2 linked regions of the Drosophila melanogaster genome follow. The protein of the gene in region 1 interacts with the protein of each later gene in a pairwise test. Each region holds a gene or a part of one and is shown on either strand. Other genes may lie near its edges.

Region 1 (3,877 bases):
CGCCGCAGTCGAGGGAATTGAGAGAGACAAAAGAAGACATTGTTTTTCCCGGGAATCAATTACATCCTCAGTGCGCCCAAGGAACTCATCCCCATTTCCCATTTCTTCGTCCTTTTCACTCCTCTATCGACTCGCACTGGCTGCAAGCGATTTTTTTGATTAGCTTCCGCCCACACAGAATTCTGGCGCGGATGTGGAAGCCAACATTCGGAGGGGCACTAGTGCATGGCGGGCAGCAAAAGGAGCAGCAGCAGGTAATAAAATAATAAAATAATAAAATTCTGTTTTGATTTTTGCCTTCCTTCCCCTTGGATTCCCTTGAACATTGCTTCAAGTACGATGACGTACACGTGCCCAAAATAAGCAACAGCTTGCTAACAGCATTTGGTTGGCCAAATACGAGGCAGCGGGTATATCGAACTTAACGAGATGGATGCCCAATAATTCTCTTTTGTTCGAAAATAACATAATATTTTAAATTCGATTTAAAAGCAGAGAGAACGCTACAATCAAGTCCCACGACTATCAGATACGGAGTACTTTTATATAATATATATATACTTCATAGTATCGGTTAGGCCCCTTTGACCAATCACGATCTAGCATACTCCAACATTAAAGAGGTATTAATATATTCCAAAATGGTTTATTAAAAAGTATCTAAATAGACGAAATGAACAATATTTTAAACACGTGAATAAAGGGTATTTGCCAGCTTGTAAGTAAAATGTTACGTTCGTTTTTCGTTTGTATTTTTCGATGATTCGCGTGTTATGGCAACCAGTTGTTGAAAAAGCAAGAAGCACATCAAACAGCATACATGGCCTCAACTCCTGGCATCGGCGAATCCAATGCGATGCCTCTCCATGTCGAACTCAGTATAGTATTTGCCCAAAAACACATCCCCCAGAATCCAGAGCGGTCCACTGGGCGATGGCAGGTCCACGGCAATGAACGCCGAGGAGCAGATCCTTCGATCCTGGTAGATATCCCGAAAGACATACTCGTGAGACTCCAGGAAAAATCTACGCCCACCCAAGGTAAAGGTGATTTTGGGCAGGTCTGGTACGCTGTCGCACGGAACTAGAAACTGTCCAAAGGAGGAGGGAGTTCCCCCAATGGATTCATTGATAAGTATAGCCTGGTCGTAGGGCAATGCCAGGAAAGAGGTGCCCGTGTCGATAATCACTTCACATCCCTGCTGACATAGCTCGAGATTCCGGATAACTGCTGAATCCATTTTCACCTGCCAATAGGCACGATGGCTCACCTGGACATAAGTAAAGTTGCCGGTGTAGTAATGCGGATTGGATCCGCCAAAGAAGATGGCTCCACCATCCTTTTCGCCATTTCTGCTAAGGTAAACACTGAATATGGGTTTCGTTAGAAGTCCTTGCTCCATCATCGCATAGAATGGTGGCTTGATGCGCTGCATAGAGATGCTGCGATAGGCCAATCCAAAGATGCCGTCGAATTTTGCTGCCAGGAAGATGGGACCCGGCATTTCGGTGGCCTCCGCGAAGGTCTGATCCCGAATCTCTAGGCCAGCCACCCGAACGGTGTCGGTGGAAAGGAAGCCGGACAGACTGCCGCTGCCATAGTGGATGGCAAAGTGGTCTCCCCTCACCTGGTGACTGGTCGACCGCTTGGCAAAGTAGCGATTGTGCACACGACAGGCCACCATTGTGGACGCACACGTGGCGGATGGCACCCAGAGATTCGAGGAACCCGTATCGAATATCACCTTGAATGTCTGCGGCGGCGTACCAATGGTGATGGGGCCAAAGTACTGGGCGTCTAGGTAATTGCTCAGTGGTGTGCTCTTCACCGCCGAGTTCCACTCGCCACGGAAATGGCTGACCTCCTCGGCGTACTTTAAACGCAGCCGGTCCATCCGGATGCCCAACTTCTCGAAGCGATGACGGGCGGAGGGGAAGCGGCGCAGGGGAACGCGGTACAGCTGCAGCTTGCAACTGACCGGATGTTGAAACTGTACCGGAAGTATGAAGAGCACCGGAAGTAGCGAAACGAGCAGCCACATAATGCTATCAAAAGCAGTCGATAACCAAGTACTGTTGAAAACCAGGCAATAAAATATCAAAGCAAAAAGGAAAGGCAACTTGCCGCTTTCTTTGTTGTGTAATAAATTGTGTTTAAATATTTCAATTCAGTATGCCAACGCTTCGATTACAGATATGAAGTACATTCCTTAAGGATGAGACATACGGTTACCCTTGGAGAAAAACCTTTGAAGGAGCTCAAATTTATAAATATAAATAATAAATCTGAAGATTGTTGCGAAACAGAAAAGCACTTTAAGCAATCGAAATATAACGGCACGGCTTGAGCATTTAAAATATGTTTAATTTTTCTCGAAAAAAACTCGATATACCCAATTCATTGAAATAACCGCCCGGCAGCATAAAAATTTCCATGAAAATGTAATTGGAAATGTGAAACGTCTGTGTGTTGGCAGCAGTTTGGAATCGAGCTGTGATCGAATGTGTTTTTGTTGCTGTTGGAAAAGACGACGAGGAAAACCTTTTCAATGCAATGTGAAAAGCGTCTGTAGGTGTTGAGTATATGTTGAATCGATGTGTGTACTCGACTGAAAAAAAAATATGAGTGTGTGCACCGTTGACAGGGTCTTCTAATTGTACTTGCTGCCATTCTGGGGAGCTGTTTGATTGCACTTTCATTTGTGCACTGCCATTTGCGTAAATGTGTGCTCAATTGCTTGGATACGGAATGTCTATCAAAATGTTCATATCGTTTATTGAAGTTGTTTTAAAGCAAACTGCAAGGGCCTTTGGCGTACCCATCATACGTCTCGATGATCCCCAATTAAAGTGTCAGGATAATGCGACAATAACAAAGGCCTTCAGCAAAGAAGGAGAGAAGGACACAAATCCCGAAAACCTCTTCGGACGACCTTCTCGCCCTGAAAGCCAGCTGTCAATGGCAGGCCACACCTGTGCTAATGGGCCGGGGAATATGACAATTCCCGGGGCTCCGGCTCCTTGGCATTATTACTTTCAGCAGAAAGTCGCTGAGGGCTTGGCGGTACACTTAATTAGTGCATTTTCCTCGCCGACCGAGGCCTTTGACCTGGCCTAAAAAGGATTGGCAGAAGTACAAGTGTGAGCTCGCACCGTTTAATTGAAGGCGACTTTCTGGCCCTGGGCAAATAACATTATCGGGTGAATTGAAATTGCATTATGTGCCATTAGGCAAAGCAGGCCCTCATTGAATTAGGCAAACACAATTAAAGTTAAGGGACACGGGCAAAGTTTGCGCTTGTGAATCCGGGTAGCTGTCAAAAAAATCCGTCAGTTGGCCAGAGTTAAAGTCAAAATTCATGTCGGTGACAGGAAGTCCTTGAAAAGCTGTCACCGAGTGTCAGGAGTCAAAAGAAAACTTGTGTGTGTGGCAACACTTGTTGATTTTTGCGAAAAGAAACGAAAAGTTTGTCGGTTTCCTTATTTTTCGGGCTTTTTTTTTTTTTTTTTTTTGCCTTCCTCGACCTGTGTCCACCGCAAGGCAAAAAGGTAAACTCTGTCTCAAATTGGAAAGCGGAAATTGCAGGCAGCACATTTTGTATTCTTTGATGCTTATAAATTAGGTTTGAATGGAAAAACGGTAAAACCCGAGCGAAACAGAGGGGAAAACTGCTCCCTGCTGGATAATATGAAAGAGATAGAGTTCCTCGAATGTCCATGTACATGGCAGGAAAACCCGAAACCCGCAGCTGGTCAAAAGTTTTCGCCAAGAACTTTGGGCAAAAGACGATGATTCAAGGCATGTGGTCCAGGCCAAGTCTTTTCCACATGCCGAAAAAACCAATTATAACGTAAAACTTTGACTCAGCTCTCTACAT
Region 2 (3,908 bases), on another chromosome or scaffold:
TTAATGCTACAGACAAACTTATTTTTTCCATAAAGCTTAAAGTTCGCACTTTTGAGATAGAAAATGCACAGTTGATAAATATATGTATGTGCGATGCTCTATATTGGCCCCTCAAGCATTTACTTAATCTGTCAAGTTGAGTAAACAATGAAGCAAAATAGAAGGACAGATAAATACACTGAGATAATTTTATGACAATATCTTCGATTTAAATGGAAATCATGAAATCTTGCATTAAGTACTTTTCGCATTTGTATTTACTTTGGGAATTCTGATCCCAAGTAATGTAGCTGAAAGAACTTAAAATTCTCTTATACAGATGACTGTCCAACATCTTTATTGGATATAGATGTGTGCATACCCAATGCCTCTAGGAGTACAGGGTATTTATTCATATAAAAGAGCACAACTTAGAATGTAACTTAGAATGATGCTCGGTCAACGCGCGGGATGAGCGATAAAATCAAAGCACAGTATAACCAAAACAATTGTTCAAAAAGAAGAGCAATTTTTTCGGACAATGAAGAAAGCGCATAAGAAGTGTTTTGAAAAAAACAAAAGTTTAACTCCTTTAAAATCATTAAAACGCTTTTAGCGCTTTTCACGCCCCTGGCCAGCGAGAATTTCCACCCGTCTGGCAAAGCGCTGGAAAGTTTAGTTTCGGCTTTGTTACCGAAAAAACAGAAAGACAAAAAAAAAAAAAAGGAAAACTGTCGGCGATGATGGAAAAAGTGGCAAAGTTTTTCTCAAAGGCATCACTGGCGAAGTATAAGAATAAAATGACCGACCATGAGTGACCGGAGCAAAGCTCTATGGGCTAGTAGATACCCTAACCAGATGACTTTCTTGCGAATAGATTTTGTCACTTAAGTGCCAGCAATGTGGAGGGCAGCCGTTCCTCCAGCCATGACTCCTTGGCTTTCGTCCTCCAGAAATCCTTTGTCCTTGGCCACAGTTTGAATCAAAGTGTCTTGGTCGTTCGCCATTGAAGCGAATGCGTAGCCCATGCCAATTGTGCAATTGTTGGAAAATTTCTTCTTCAGGTTTTTGGTATCTTTTATTTTTTCTTACATTTTTTTTTTTCCTAAAAACTTTATCGGTGTGCCTTTCATTTTTTCTTAACCATTTTTCCCCATTTTTACGCTCTTTGCCAAACCGTTTCCATAGTTTTTTTTTGCGTTTTGGGTTTCGTCTTAAAAGGTGTTGGCCATTATGCGGTTGCAGATACCCTTTGATCGAATATTAAAGGCTAATGCACAGAAATGTTCGAACGAAATCGAAATCAAGTGTTTTCGCTAAAAGTTGGCAAAGGGGAAGTGGCATGAGTTCAATCAATTTGACGAACTTCAATCAAGCTGCGCCATAGAATGAAGAACGACGAGCATCGCTGATTTGGAATCCATGTGGATTCATGCCACATCCCATTTGGGATTCCGCTGAAGTTCTGTCGTCAAATGGCAGCAGTCTGCAGTCTGCAACTTTAAGCTAACTTGTGATAGGTATCCCGCACACGCGCTCAGTTTGAGTTCGGTCAACAATTGCCCGCACAGACAAATTGGGAAGGAGCGCTGACTATTTGATACATTGTAGGGACCAATGTCCTGGCCATTTGCAGTTGCACGGGCACCAGGTTACAGCGAATCGATTCCCTCATTCAATCCTATCCCGATTCACCAGTCAGTTGTTGCCACTAATGCCCTTTCGACGAACAATAGTTGTCGAAATGGGGAAAGGATAAAAATGCATTACCTTCAAATAAAAAGTTATGTATTAAATTGTGCTGGTTTCTGACAGAGGAATTGTAATCAGCGCTGAACTCTTTCCTTTCTTATTTTCGCTGTCCTTAATTTGCGTTCGATTATTAGCAGAAAATAAAATATAATATAATTTGCACGAATTGGATTACCCATTATTTCTCTCAGTGCCAGCTCCGTAGCGATAAGGCTGTCGAACTGAGCGCAGTTCGCTTTCGCACTGGTTAATCGTCAGTGGTCGGCTTGGCATATCAGACGAACTAACCGCATCACCGACTTGACTACTGACCCCAATCTAAGCCCCTTCGTCTAATCAGCCAACTGGCGGCGACAACAACGCAGTTTCTGCAATCAAAATCAGTTGGAGCCAGCTCCCTCTAAGATGATGATCGAGTGGTGGCTGCCATGGGTGTGCCTCTTGCCGCTCATGCAGGCGGATCCTGTTGCTCCCCAGCTGGATCTTGGTGTGAAGGACTTCCAGCTGGAGCTTCTGCGCGAGTTAAGCGACCTGGTGCAACAGCGGATTGAACCGAGTCTCAACGACTACCTGGATCGTCTAGGACGCATTCCTCGGAATGCCAACTACACCGAAGAGATGAGTGCAGCTCGCGCAACACCAAAGCTTCAATTGAAGGTGACGCTCATCAAGCAGCTGCTCGACGTGCGTCCGCACCTGGACACGGATATGGAGTACACCATTGTGCTGCGCAACCTGGTCTTTCTGAACCGAGTCAGATCCACGCTGAGGGCTGCCGAGGAGACTAGCACACAAGAGATCCGAATGATGCGCATGCACCGCCTCTGCCAGCAACTTGACCGACCGGCTCCTCATCGCGGCAGTCGCCTGATCAACGAACAGACAGTCGGGGCGGCATTGGGGCAACTCAATCTGACCAAAAAGGAGGTGAACTCCACCGGCTTGGATCTCAATGAGTTCGGGGCGCAGCTGTACGAGCGGGTCAAGTTATCCGGCGCCGAAATCATCGACAACTACCTGCACATACTGCGTTCCCTGCTGCAGGACATCATCGACGGTGACCATGCTGATCTGGCCGGGAGCAGTGCCAAGCTGGACAAGATGCAGCAGCAGCTGGACGTCATGCTTGCCACGGAGGACTTCTTCGAGAAACGTCAACGGGTGTATGCGTACCTGGAGCACCACTTGCGCACCGATTACGAGGAGATGCGGGACACATCGAGCAGCGAGCACATCACCGAACATCTTCTCGCCCAGCTGAAGACCAAGGGACTGGACCTGTTCGTCATCTTTCTTTTTAGCAATTTTGAATTCCTAGACCTGGTGCACGAGCACTGGGAGCAGCTGTTGCCACAGTCACCCAGTTTGCTATACGACGAGACCGCACGCCAATTGTACGATCTGCAGCAGCTGTATCAGGTCTTCAAGCTGGACACGGAGTGCGAGGCCAAGTACACGGCCTACTCGGACGCACTGCGTCGCTTGCACGAGCGGACCGTGGAGCAGGGTCAGCGCAACCGGCACATCTTTGAGCTGCTCCACAACGCGGCACAAAGCGTCGGCACGGTTACCTTCAACATGATCCGGGCCAAGTGCAATGAGCTAAGATGAGATGACATTTATAATAAAACCAAACTTTGCTACTTAAATGATGAGAGTTGCGTGCTTTTGGCTATATAGTTCCACATACTAATATCTTATATTGAAGACATCGCCTGTGCTGCAATTGACAGCGTTTGAAAGGACAAGTTTCACAACATAATTACATTTTGCCAGTTCCTGCGGTTGTCGCCTGCTTTTAATATCCGTCTGCCGCATCTGATTTCGCTTAAGTATCGTCCAGGAACACCTTTCCACATCTTCGGGGTGAGCGGACAGCAACTTCCTTTTGCCGCATTATGCAGATGTTGCCGTTAGTGTTGCTTCTCCTGGTGTTGCCACTGCTCGTTGTTTATCAGATGCTGCCAGGGCTCTAAGGATTCAACTCTTGCTCCTGCTTCAGCTCCAGCTGAAGCTGCAGCATCATGGCTCCCTTGTGGTACCGATGGGCCTTCAGACTAATGACTGCTGCTGCCGCTGTCGTTGGCCAAAGCCAGCTAATTAATTGTCGTCGTTGCAGGTGATTAGAACTTAAATGAGTTGCCGGTGCAGCAGAAGTTTCCGTGGCACAGTTAGCC

The links.
Region 2: the proteins of CG10104 (region 1) and CG42369 interact in a two-hybrid assay, tested with the Drosophila melanogaster proteins (one large-scale study listed by BioGRID).

Annotation. Positions count from the first base shown.
Region 1 is NT_033778.4:14,388,964-14,392,840, reverse strand, and holds CG10104 (uncharacterized protein), read right to left. Parts: upstream 2,146-3,877; 5' UTR 2,042-2,145; coding exon 827-2,041; 3' UTR 632-826; downstream 1-631.
Region 2 is NT_033779.5:6,395,322-6,399,229, reverse strand, and holds CG42369 (uncharacterized protein), read left to right. Parts: upstream 1-1,980; 5' UTR 1,981-2,136; coding exon 2,137-3,342; 3' UTR 3,343-3,377; downstream 3,378-3,908.